Drosophila melanogaster: one gene and its partner. The main gene of each other region encodes a partner of the protein of the gene in region 2 in a complex. Each region holds a gene or a part of one and is shown on either strand. Other genes may lie near its edges.

Region 1 (6,932 bases), on a different chromosome or scaffold from region 2:
TGCTAAAAGGCCCGAACCTAGTAATTTACAAATATTTGCAGTATATCAGCAAGCCAAGTTTTGTCTAATTAATAGATACTCCAATCACTGTATTTACAAAGTGGCAGTTCTGCCCTTGCAAAATGCTATATTACTATCATTTTTGTCAAACCGTCAATTATCATGAGTTTTCCGGATTATTACTCAATTTAGTGTAACAAGCATAAACAATTTACATGTATAGTTGATTAATAGCTGTACCAATAGCATTAAATGATATTTGCATATTTGAAAATTTGATGTATATAATATATTTGATATATTTGATATATATTTGATATATTTGGAAAATAATTAATAAAAATAAGTAGGCAAGTGAATATACCCCAAGAAAAAGCTTAACTACATTGCATTCTACTTATTTCAGATGCAGCTCAAAGGTTCAACGCACATTGCCGGCGAGATAAACAGGGTAAACACAAACACACACACACACAATCTAAGTCCGGATCGATAAGCCAAAATCCCAATGATCTCCGTAACTGGTTTGGCCAGCTTCCACCGCCCAACTCATCCAAATGTCGCCGGGATTTCGATTAGAGGACATGGATGGTCCATGCTCTCATGGTCCATGGTCCAATTAATATGGCGTCTGCATAATCAGCTAGCCAAGCGACAAGTTTCAATTAACATGGCGTAATGCATGGCCAATAAGTCACGCCCCCTTCGACCGACCACAGCAAAAACAACAACAACAACAACAACAACAACAACAATAGCGAACGGGAAGTGGCCATAACAAATTTATCCTCATTAAGATGCAAACACATTCGACGGACGGAGAATAATCGAGCGGAGTCGCACTTTCAAAAACGGAAATCCCTTTTGTCCGCAAGTTCAGCAAAACCATAGATATACATATATATATGTATATATATATATATGTATATATAATAGTTAATTGCACTTTAATTTCATATTTACCAGCAACAACAACAGCACAGCAGCACGGAAAATGTTAATTAAATCGCCCGATGAGCAGACTAGACCGAACAAATATATATATGTATAAACAAAATGAAACAGAAAAACCGAAAATAAATTGAAATTCAAATTGAATAAACCGCGCGAAATAGTGAAAACACGAAAGATCACAGCGGGATTAATTGCATTAAAGTTATTCAGAGAATATTATGCAAAAGCTGCCGGCCAGCGTTTTGCATTAATTAGTCGAAGGTATGTATGCTATAGTATATATATATACATATTTGTACAATCAGAAAGTCAAAACCGATGGAGCCTTAAACTCTCACCCACATTTCGCTCGAATCGCCGCTGTTGAAGTTGTTAAGCGCTGTTCACGCGCTTTAATTCAATTTATTGTTGATTTGAGCGGCTTAATTGCATTTTATTGTTGCAGTTGCGGCCCCAACTGAAAAGCAACTCCACACACACACACATAGGAACACTTAGTGCACGCGAAAAAAAAAGGGTATTAAAAGAGCCGAAATTCATGCAAACACACACATACGCGCACGGATGTATCTTGTATCTTTGAGAACGCAACTCACTCGACAAAATGTCACAGATATCTGGATGTGGATCTGAATCTGGATCTGGATGTGCGATTCCCGAAGCGTTACGTAGTGCGCAGTGGCGCGATCGCAGCAGAACTGATTTGCCGGCGAGCGGCGGCTTTTTAACCAAGCCCCAAGCTCCAAGTCCAAGTCCAACCCCCCAGCTGGAGAACTTGAGCACGGAACTGAAACCGAACCGAAGCGATGCGATGCGATACGATACCATACGATACCATACGATACCATACGATGCGATGAACGATGAGTGACGAAGCGCACCGCAACCGAACCGAACTGAACCGAACCGATCTTAAATGACCATTGATCTTCTTTTTCGTTGACGCAGCAACTATGACGTCATTGGCAGGGCAACCCCTAAACTGGATATCATGGGTAGATAGCCCACCGCGCTCCTCTTTCCATGGGTCAAAGCTCAACTCAATCGGTTGATCGCAGATCGCAAGCAGGCCGCCAGATATTTAAGTTCTTATAGATACATAGATAGATAGATGTATTTTCCATCTCAAGAAACCAATGCCACCTCAAGAGTATCTATCTAAAATATAATCTTAATAAAAACATGATCTTAACATTGTGCATCTAGTTGATTTGATGATTTTCGGTTTTTAATAAGCTTCCGACTTACATAGTAACATCTTTGTATCATTAAAATTAAGGTAATGGGCCGAGGCTATGTAAAATGTATATAATTATTAAATTATAGTACTTATTTTTGAGCTAGACTTATTAAGACTAAATATATTGAAAAGCTTACATCCAAAGAGGGTTAAATTTCAACTTCTTGCAATGGAAAAAAACTTTATTCGTTTACAAATGTTAACAGAAATAATTTAAAATACAACTCAATTTACTCTAAACATCGTCACATGAATAGCGCAAATCAACGCGCTTTTTCGCCAACAAATAAACGTGGCAGAAAATTTGTTTAAATCGTTTAGCTGACTCACTCTTTACATTTAGCTAAGCATTAACAGCACACCTAAATTGATTATTAAACTAATTGATCGCAAGCAGCAGTAAACGCTTGAAAATAATTGAATTCAATAGGGAACTAGCCCACACAATCAGAAAATAAAGTCATCAATTGGGGTGAATAGAAGTGTATTTCCATGAAAAGTAAACGAGATGTGGAAAGTCATAGAAATTTCATTAAAAATTTTCTATCAAACTACAAAATATCATATTTCCATAACTTTTTAACCGAGAAATATGAAGAAAACAAGTTAAGCTATTAATTTCATTGATTTACACAAACATTTAGGTATTTTTTTTTTACTCTGTAGAATCAAAAACTCGCAAGCTAAGAAATATGCAATATTTTAAAGCATTTTCCGAGCATTTGAAGCACACAAGAGTAGGCAATTTTCCGGTTACACATGACTCGTGACTCATACAACTGACACTGCGGGATGAAAAATTGAGCGGCGAGTGAAAGGCTTGCGTGACAGCTTCCGTTTCCGGTTCCGCCATCAAGTCCAAGTATCCCTTTCGCTTATGGATTTTTTGGCCAACGGAAAGGATGTGCCGCAGACATCCAAACTGCACTCGTGCGCACAATTTCTTGGCCCGAATAATCTGTGGAAATCCAATCTCCCGCCTGGGATCATCGAATTCGTACTAATCGTTTGAAATATTCTGGAATTGATTAGACGGCAAACTTATTACACACACTTGACGGAAGATGCGGCTTATCAACCCGAGCGATTCTCAATGGATTCGCCGGCGGACTAGGTGCTACATACCTATTTCACAGACTGTCACGTGAAAATCAGATTTTCGCATTTTTTTCGAAAAAAAAAGGGACAACCCCGGAAATTCACCTTCTGATTGACGTATTGTGCACATTTTGCATGCAAACTCTTTTCAATCTTGAACTGTAGTGAAATTTGCAATTTTGTAGCACTACAAATTGGTCTTGCATAAAAATATTTATTTCTTTCTCTCAGTTTAGTCATTGATGTTTTAGTCTTTTTCAGTTTATTGAGTAAAAGGTTTTATTTATATCGACAATTGAAGAGAAACTAGAGTTAGTTTATACGTTGTAAAGCAATTCAATTGGTTGCTTAACGTAACATAAAATTATATTATATTAAATGGTGTATTGTGTCGATTTGGGAACTGTTTTTGGATGATTCACCACCAATCGATGCCCCAGTGCCCGACTGTCTGCATAATGGACTTGGTGGCATTGGATGATCATGATCGTCCGGCGCGAACCAAAACATCGAAACGTAAACAATTCTTTGCATCTCAACTCAAATGTTTATACAATTTTATACATCAACGGTCAAGAGAATGGGTACAACCAATTCAAAATCAGAAGCAAACAATTACTGAGACAGTCGACTTAAATACAATTTTTAATAAAATCTGCATTTTCTAGCAGTAAATCGATGTATTCTATTAATTTCTGCATACATTTTGCTCTATTTGTGATATAATTATCATTATTATTAATTGAATTATGCCAATGAAAGTACTTTCTATATTTGTGGATTCAATCATGCGAATATAGGTATATATTATTATGCTGATTAGGCAGGTCAGACGGACTTATATACAATACACAAAATATGGATCGATATTTGTTTCTTTTTGCATATTGCTATTAATCGTTTTCCTTCCATTTTATTTTGTAGCGCGATAAGCAGAGCATCGTAAGTTGCGTTCCGAAACTGTCAATCCAATAATTAACAGAAATTCACTTAGTAATATAAACTGAAAGTTGATGGCTTTATAAGGCGTAAGAGTCTGAAGATGTAAATGATGTTGCTCATCAACTGAAAATATAGCTAAATTTGTATGATTGAATCTATTTTTGGCAAAGCAAGGGAATTTTTCAACGGTATTGAGATCTATTTCAATATCATAAACATTTGTTTTAACACCTATGAAACGCACTGTTCGCAGGCTCGTACGCATAAACATTCAACAGATCCGAGTAAAATTTGTTAAATTTATTGTAGAGAAAGCGCGCAAATGTCGTAAGTGTGTGATTCCATACAAATAAACAATGTACTCTAGGTTTTTTAATATAAAAATGAACGAAGATTAACCGAACGGACTTCAGTTGTGCGCTAAACTTTGCAAACGTCGGGCCAAATTCTGTCCGCCGATCTCAGTTCTTTCGAATAGCAAATTTTCACAAATGGAGTCAATTAGCAGCATGATTTATTTAGTGGCCATGATGTCATTGATCATCGGTGGCAGCCAAGCGATTCCTTATCGACGTACGATTTTTCCAAATAACACATATATTTTCCAGTAATATACGTTGATTTTCCCTTTCACCCTATAGCCTCGGCGTATCTGTACAATCAGCAGTACTGTATGGATACATTGACGGGTCGGCAGCTTTATATCGGTGAAGTCTTCACGCGAGAGGATCAGTGCGTCCGCATCCAATGCCTGGAAACGCTGCAACTCTGGGAGGATAGGTAAGCGTGCCGTACTAGTATGCCATAGCATCGGGTAACAGATCATCGTACTCATCCATGGTCCAGCTGCCAGGTGCCGAAACTGACGCAGGGCAATTGCACGCCAGTTCCATCGACGAACCCGCATGCCGAATATCCCCGATGCTGCCCACTGTATGAGTGCAAGAGCTACGAGTCGAATTCGGGGGGAACTCTGGAGCAGACCAACATATATGACCACTATGGTACTCTGCGATCATCCCATCTCACTGAGATGATAGTGATCGACGGGCGGACACCCCCTCGTGGCGAGATTCACACGGCGTCGGCGAGGAAGTATCAGGTGTGAGAAGTGAACTGGTACTCTGTTCCTAGGACTACTTAGTCTTTAGTGCAGATCTAATGTGTACAAATACAAATGGAGTTTATTGCGGAATACTTGAATATGTTAAATAAATTTAAATTTCACATTTTTTTTGTCTAAAGAAGTGTATTTTTTCCACTGTACTCGCTATTCAAACTTGGCGCCCTATCGATAGCATTGCTTAGCTTATCAAATAAATTATCTCAGACAACGGGCTACGATTTGAATTCCTTACTTCAGGATCGTTGAGTTTATATTTCTATTTATTTTCTCGGGATTTTCAATATTATATTTTAGCATAATATCGATATTAGCGGTATTTGTGGCCGTCTGCGATAGGCATTTAGTTATCACGTAGCCAGACATCGAATAACGATTGCACCACTTATCGATAATAAAGCACAAGAGACAGTAAAATATTTAACAATTTCTACGAATCAACAAATTATAAAGCCGCAGTGAGCAATTAAAATCAGTTGGAAGAAACGCTAGTGCCCCACATAGGAATCCGAATCAAGCAGCACTTACCGAAGGACAACCAATTGCCCTCTAACCGAATTTCACCACAACAACACAATGTTGCTGCGTCTAGCACTTTCCACCGCCCGTCCAGCCGGGGCTATCAAGATCCTGGCCCAGTCTCCGGCCCAGCTGTTCCGGGCCAATGCCAATCCCAATCTGAATCTCTCCACGGTGCGCACCTACGCCCGCAGGGTGGTTCGCACCCGTGAGCCCGTCGAAGAGATGCGTGCTCCCTCGCTGAAGGAGAAACTGATGGGTCCGCCAAGTGCCAATGGTAAGTCTCTTGTGTAATCCCCCATCTATGTATATCGGTCGTCTAATTGTACTCTTCTGGCGTGCAGCATACTCCATGGGCAAGGGCGCTGCCGCCGGAGCAGCCGCCGTGGGATTGGGCGCCCTGTGCTACTACGGCGTGGGATTGGGAAAACAAACCAGCATCGCGGATAATGCCATGTGAGTGATAGCACGAGTCTCTCACTTGCGAAATACAGGGACTTTAATAACTGAGATTATATTTTCCGTTTAGCATGTGGCCCCAGTTTGTGCGCGATCGTATCCAGAGCACCTATGCCTTTTTCGGTGGCTCTTGCGTTCTCACCGCGGCCGCAGCAGCAGCCACCTTCCGTTCGCACCGTCTCCTGGAGCTGGCCTCGCGTGGCGGCATCTTGGTGAGTCCTCTTGCACAATTCGTAGTTCTTGCCGCCTACCTGACCAACAGACACAACAGAACATAACACTTCCTCTTCATTTGCCTTTAATCGCTTAGGCGACCATTGCTTCGCTGGCGCTGGTCATTGGTAGTGGAGCAGTTGCCCGCTCGATTGAGTACCAGCCGGGTCTGGGAGCCAAGCATCTGGCCTGGGCGGTGCACTGCGCCATTCTGGGCGCCGTGATCGCACCCATTTGCTTCATGGGCGGACCGATTTTGACGCGCGCCGCTCTCTACACGGGCGGCATTGTTGGTGGCTTGTCCACGATCGCCGCGTGTGCACCCAGCGATAAGTTCCTCTACATGGGCGGCCCACTGGCCATTGGCTTGGGCGTGGTGTTCGC
Region 2 (6,932 bases):
ACCGTCCCCACAGACAGATGACCCAATTTTTAAGGGTCCTTCAGCACTTTATTGAGCGCCTTTCTAAATCCCTTTCGCTTTGCATTCCCTTTATGTCTTAAGTGTCTGTAACCTGAGGCTAAGCGGTCTATTTTCAGCAGTCCAGACATGACCTTAAAGCTAGTTGCCTACTTAAGGATTCCTCCAGCGTGGCCATGCCACGCATTCGAATCATTCGCCTTGGATACACGGCAGCCCGAGGAGGTTCAAAGGTAAATAATCGGATAAATATTTGTAATAATTTCTTGAACGATGAACCACTTCCAAGCGAACAGCAAGTGGTATCCAAAACCACTTTCGCACTCACAATCAGATGCAGCTCATTAGCATTTGATTTGGCGTCGAACCGAAGAAATATTTCCGGCAAAGCGGGCAAACATTGAACCTTTGCTCTGTGTCATTGCCATTTGCGGTTAGTTGAGCGGCAAAAGGTAAACAAATTTACGGGAAAACTCCCTCACCACCTGTGGTTTGAATAATGAAGAGGTGTTTGAGGTGTGAAAATAAATTTGGTAGAAACGAAGCGCTGGAGTGAGTAATCAATATGAATGCGATTTAGGTGCAGAGATCTATCATTCCGTGGTAAATATGTATATATTGTACAACTCATACTCTTCGTATAAGGAAGTGAATCAAAATTTGACAAATAACCATAATAACGATTATTTCTGATTATTTTGATAAATGCGAAATGCGACGAAAATGTATGTCGTTAATGTTTCAGTTTATTCACACGAGTAATATTTATCCAATCTATCTATCCAGTAGGCTGGTGTTATAACATTCACTATCTTTCTATATCCCTCATTCATTTTAGCTAAATCATCCAAAGAACATAAATAGATGTAAAATATATCAAATACAGTTTATACATTATTGTGCTTTTGCGTTTATTGGTGCAACTCGAGGCCAACGAAAGTTTGTTTCGGTGAGTAAAGAGCCTTTGGATGAAGATGGTGCGCCCAATTCGTCGCAAGGGAATCGAGGAGGTCTATGGTTCCAAAATGGATTCCTTGCATCCGGTAAAGTCGGTAGCGATATCCCATGCAGGTGTGACCAAGAAAACAGCAAGGGCTGAGAGATCGGGTCCAGGCGGTGCAACTGGCGGTGGAGGAACCATTAGCTCCCGACAAGTCGATGCTCGCACTCAGCGCAGTTTTGTCACCGAAAATGATTACTACATCACCACCAATCTGCCGTTGACGGCGGCCAATCTGCGAAATGCCCCCGGTTCGATGGCGCAGCCATCAATATCGCAAATGATTCCCGGCCATGTCCAGCCATCTCCATATAACGCCATGCCCTCGAGGCGAAACCAAATGGCCAATAAGGCCAGTGCTCGTCAGGCGCCGATGAACAAGGTGCCGCATTTTAGCCCGGCCGAAGGCACGGTAAACCCTAATGGCTATGGCATGTCCAAGTCGAAGGAGACATACCGAATGAAGCACCGCGAAAAGGGCAATACCCAGAGGAACGACTATCCAATGGATGACAACGACGACTACTCCGATAAGGAACTAATGGTGCCCCAGCAGGGAAACATGGGAAATATGCGCCGGCACAATCCGCACTCTCATGCCCATCAAATGCAAATGCAGTTGCAATCCGGAGCAATGCAGCATCCGCCGCAACACCAGCTGCACCAGCAGCAGCAGATGACTACTCACAACCACCTCAAGCATCAGCAACAGCAGCGCCTCCAGCATTCGCAACCGCATCAGCATCAGCATCAGCATCCGCATCCGCATCAGAAGCAGATGCGTGGGCGACAGCCTGTTCCGGCGAGCAAGGTGCACGTGAGTACCGCCGATGACGATGAAGATAAGGAGGAAGATCCTGAGGAGTTCTTTGACCTGATCCGCCAGACTGTCAAAACGGCCGTTGGCGTGAGTTTCGCATAAGTTCCTTAGTTGATTAGTTAATACACTATGCACTTTCTTTAGAACACCATATCCGATGCTCTGGCAAAGAACTTTCGCGATCTGAGCCACAAAATCGAAAGGTTCTCGGGCGAGTTGAAGCAGACAAACGATAACCTGGATAAGCTGCAGGAACAAGTCATTAGCAGTGAGTTTATTTACTTTCAGTGTTTATTTGGTATTTATAATATGTAACTATTTTTTGGCATCTGCAGAGGTAATTTACTTCGGTGAGGAAAATTCGCGACACTTTCGGTACTTGTGCATGAAATCCGAGTACGATAAAATGTTTTACCAGCATCAATCGCTGATGAATGGAAAGCCCACTCAGGAAATGCTGAGTCTTTCGAAGGCGAACTTAGAAGCAGCGGCCTCAGTCAGTCAGAATCTGACACAGAAACCGTCGCATAGTTTAAAACAACAACCAGGAAAAGTGATTAGGAATCAAAGCAAAATGCCTATTAGCGCCAAAAAAGACCATAACGAGTCCCTAATGAACTCCAGTGCCTATCGTAGCATCTGCAAAGCTCAGCAGCCAGTTCTTGCTGCACAAAAGTCGTCATCGGAGCAAAGTTTAGTTGTAAAATCATCTGATGTGGGCGTGCAAGAAGTCCTGGATAATATCCAGCGCTACTGCAATCAGGTGAAGGATATGAATGGTCAGATGTCGGCTGAACTGCCCAGTCTCGAGGACATCTTGATACCCAAGAAAAATTCAAACGGTGGACTTTGTCAGCCAGCAGCCATGAGCTCTAGGACCCTCGCAGGTAGTCAGAAAAATAAAAAGGTTGACGACACGGAGATCGAAACGCCCAACGATAGTACGGATGAGACCTACACCGAAGTGGATGACTTCCAGCTCTCCTCGGACATCTCGACCGGCAGCGAGGACGATGACTGTGGCCTCAAGTATCCAAGTGGAGCAACTACGAGCCGGCCCAACCGCAAATTAAATCGAAGGGGAGCCAACCAAGGCGCCGGAGATGGTCAGTAAAGCCACTGGAGTGAAGATAAAGGAGCATTCAAACTGAAGGGGAACCCATTCCTAGAAATCGCCTTAATACTTATTTAAATATTACTTTTGGCATGACCTAAATTATTTCTGATAATGTAAAGCCAAAAAAAATTGGATCAAATGTTTCGACAAATTAACTATAACTTATCGTACCTGGCGTACATGTATTCATTTAATTCATTTTTAGGATCACAATTAAACTATGTTCAAAATTTAAAACTGGCTTTCATATTCTTATTTATGTTATGTGAACAGCTTACATTGAGCATAAAACTGACCTATTTGGCCCTTGGCAATCCCGATTCTCGCTGAGTAATGCCCATTGGTGTCACTAATAAGTGCATATTATATTGACTGCAAAGCAAGAATCAACTGAGCTGGCCAAAACAAGGCATCACCCCCATCCGGCAACCGGGTAAAACTGAGTCGAGTGGAAAATAAGGCCTAAGACCACCCCCACTAGCCCTAACCTGCAGCTGCATTTTTATGGGCTTACGAGTGTCGCGGCTCTGCAAGTTCTTCCGCTAGTTCAGTTGGCCAAAACAGTTTAAACGTGGACGTGGTCCGTCGGTAAGATATTGGTGCGTCTATTCAAAGTAAAATGAGTATTTAAATAAAAAGCCAAACAGCTTAATAAGGCCATATAGTTGCTTTTTGGGCAATTAAAGTTAAACCCCCTAAAGGAATTGAGCTCTAAATTAAACTTATGCAACGTGGCCAAATGAAAATGCTTACTTTTCAACTGATGTTGCGTTTGACGTGAATTAAAAGTGTTATGCAAAGCCCCAAAACCCGGAAAAGTGCCATACGAATGTCAAAGCCCAAGGCACGAGTGTCGGTTCTGTTTTCAAGGATATTCCACTGAACAGTTTGCATTGGATAGCCATAAAATAAAATAAAACATTTTGATAAACCAACGAGGATAGCAAACATTGTGCAAGCTATCCACAAGTGCCGAACTGTAAGACTGGCCAAATTGCAATTACTGATCGGCACCTTTGACAGGCCACCCTATTCCACCCTGAAACCCGAAACCCTTTTGCCCAGCAAGTTGGCTAATTGCAATGACCAATATTTGAACTGGCTTCGGGGTGTACATATTTATTTGTATAATTATGGGAAATTGTACACTCGACGTGGAAAGCACTCAATTTCGTGAGTGACTGTTTGAGCCAATAACCATAACAACCAGCGAGTGCCGGGCCTCAGCCAAGTTAGTCAAAACAAAACGGCCAAAACAGGTGCAAAACATTGCCACATCAGTGTTCCGCCTTCGGTTTTCCAGGGGGTGGGTTCGAAAACGGAAAAACTAAAATAAAATAAACTGAAATAGAGACAAAAAAAAAATCGAATAGAACATAATTGCATTGTGCGGGCAACTGCAATGCTGCACCCGTTAACACAGGGGCTTACCAAATCAAATTGGTTGTTCGTGGGCCAACAATAAATATATATGTACGGTTTGAGTGCTGCGTACATCACTGGACAAATATAAAACGAGAAACGTTTAATTGACCCTAAAATCACTGAGGCGTTCAATTTGTGTTCCCTTGTTGTTTTTTCTTTGTTTTTTTTTTTTGCCAATTGCTGTTGCCCAAAACTATTGTGGCTCTGACTGTCAGTGGGTCTAGTGCGTGAATCTGTGCAATAAGTGTGTGCAGTGCCATAAATTCCAGAATTCGGCTTCCACAAAAAACCTCTATTGATTTTCCCGAAGTGAGAGAATATGCGAAACAGAAATTTTTTCCACCGTATTACTTTGCACTGATAGTGGGCAAAATCACGAAGAAACAGACATGGAAAAGTGGAAACTATGCCAAGCCAACAAAGTCTGTGTTAGTGTGACAATTTTTAATGCGATTAAAGTGCAGCACTCTCCACGCAGTCGGCAAAATGGTTGAAGTGGCCGGCAAAAAATAAAAAATACAATTCTGCACACTGGCTAATATCCAACTTACCATTTTCTTTCTTCCTTCTAGCTATCAAAATAAAAATAAAATGATATCAATTATCAGTACATGTTGAAGGAAAGACTGCTGCATTGCTTAATTATCAACGGACATTTTTTGTATTTAATTGTAAAACCTTTAAAACTTTAGAAATGAAGGTCATGGACGCTTTGCAATCTGGACGGAGAAAGCCATTACCAGTGGGTGAGTGCTGAGTAAATGTCGTAAGGCAGAAGTGAAGTGCAATGGAATGAATGGCAACTTGAGGGGATTTCTTTTTCCGGGAATATTTCAAGACCTGTATTTTTCTCAAAATGCCATTCAAGCTTGAGTTTGTGTAGAAAATTCCATTGCAAATATGGTTTAAGTGAATTCCTTTATTGAGTAATTCAATCAATTAACTAGTCAATCAACCATGCTAACCAGAACAAAGTTACTTTAAATTTAAGGACGACGATATTTTCCATCTTATACGAATAAGATTTAATTCATTGTTGTCCTCTGCAGCTCTTCTATGCATCCTAGTCACTGTGTTCTGCGTCTTGGAGTGCCATGGAGCTGACCTGACATCACCCACCAAGAAGTCCGCTCCCCTTCGAATAACCAAACCACAGCCCACAAGTCAGCAGGCCAAGCCCATCAGTATTACCACAAGGGCCCCAACAACGGTGGCATCAACCACCGATGATGAAGTCTCCAGCTCCGTCGATGGTCAGCTGGCCCCGCTCATCTCATCCACAACCGAGGGACCCAGCAGTGGAACAACTGCCAGCTTAGTGCCGGAAATATGTCTCAATGGTCTGCAGTTGACGGTCAATAGTGCGGATGAGGGAACGGTTATACGGAAGCAGGAGGAGTTTGTCAAGATACTCGAAGGAGATGTGGTGCTCAGTGTCTTGACCAAGGACCCCGACTCCGCGTTGTTCGTAATCAATCGTGTGAACCAGGCGAATCTTATAATGGCAGACTTTGAAATTGGTTTGTAAAATTCCGCTATTTATATGCACCTAAATCAAATCCTTCTTATTGAATTCCAGGAATTCGCGCCATCAGCATCGACAACGCCAGCTTGGCAGAGAACTTGCTTATTCAAGAAGTTCAGTTTCTGCAGCAGTGCACGACGTACTCGATGGGCATATTCGTTGACTGGGAGCTGTACAAACAACTGGAGTCTGTTATCAAGGACTTGGAATACAATATCTGGCCAATACCGGGAACGCGGGCGCACCTCTTTCCCAAAGTTGCGCACTTGCTGCATCAAATGCCTTGGGGCGAAAAAATCGCATCCGTGGAAATAGCAACCGAAACGCTGGAGATGTACAATGAATTCATGGAAGCCGCTCGCCAGGAGCACATGTGCCTCATGCACTTCAAAAGTGACGATAATGTTTACATAATGTTTGGCAATAAGCTAGCTAGTCACTTCAAGGAAAACGGCACTCTGTTTTCCGTGCCCACCGATAGAACGGACGATGAATTTCTGGCAGGTGGGTAATAACTACAACGAACAGGATTACTAAAGTTGTGGGTCCTTTTGATTTATTGTTTAAGTTAAGGATTAAGACTGATACATTTTACTTACGCATTAATTTCTTCTTTTCTTTTTAGACTTACCAAACAGAGCTTTTGTCCTAATGGAAAACGAAATTGACCTGAGCACCGCCGTTGAATTGGACGCCACGCCCACCGCTTTGGACGAGATCCTGATCGGGAAGAGTGTGTTACCATCGCGAGTCCTGAGCTTTGCCGGCTCCATAATCGACCTGATGAACTGGCTGCGCGGATCCCTGTCCAAGCACTGTAAGCGTGGTGAGGAGCACGACTTGTATGTGCTGGAGAGCTGTTTCAACTTCCTGAACTTCATCGAGGACTGGCGAACCTCGGAGTACCGACAAGCCCATGATACGGCTGAGATCCTGTCGCTGCTGCTGATGCGCAAGTTGGGCACCGCCATGAACTTTCAGATGTACCAGAAGAAAGTGTTGACGCTGGACAAGATCACAGGTGAAT

What was found.
Region 1: the proteins of boss (region 2) and sev are in contact, whole or in part, in a cryo-EM structure (PDB 9BFQ), measured with the Drosophila melanogaster proteins. Residues at the interface, in NP_542440.1 of Drosophila melanogaster: His245, Gln249, Glu465, Asn474, Val475, Thr476, Thr477, Tyr478, Tyr479, His480, Tyr481, Asn482, Asn485, His486, Thr487, Ser488, Leu489, Glu490, Leu491, Gln497; in NP_511114.2 of Drosophila melanogaster: Glu866, Leu868, Ser872, Gln873, Ser874, Ala875, Phe876, Ser877, Ile878, Arg879, Asn880, Ile885, Phe886, Gly887, Leu888, Gln889, Arg890, Leu891, Gln892.

What each region holds. Positions count from the first base shown.
Region 1 is NC_004354.4:11,084,646-11,091,577, forward strand, and holds the start of sev (sevenless), read right to left. Parts: upstream 1,655-6,932; 5' UTR 1,551-1,654; intron 1-1,550. Other genes in the region: vago, read left to right, coding at 4,726-4,807, 4,876-5,014, 5,081-5,342; CG2076 (uncharacterized protein), read left to right, coding at 5,934-6,153, 6,221-6,332, 6,406-6,547, 6,646-6,932. UniProt on the Drosophila melanogaster protein: Receptor for an extracellular signal required to instruct a cell to differentiate into an R7 photoreceptor. The ligand for sev is the boss (bride of sevenless) protein on the surface of the neighboring R8 cell.
Region 2 is NT_033777.3:25,958,490-25,965,421, forward strand, and holds the start of boss (bride of sevenless), read left to right. Parts: upstream 1-3,504; 5' UTR 3,505-3,554; intron 3,555-4,952; 5' UTR 4,953-5,074; coding exon 5,075-5,126; intron 5,127-5,429; coding exon 5,430-5,900; intron 5,901-5,959; coding exon 5,960-6,409; intron 6,410-6,530; coding exon 6,531-6,932. Other genes in the region: CG14540 (uncharacterized protein), read left to right, coding at 987-1,925, 1,983-2,106, 2,174-2,952. UniProt on the Drosophila melanogaster protein: Acts as a ligand for sevenless tyrosine-kinase receptor during eye development.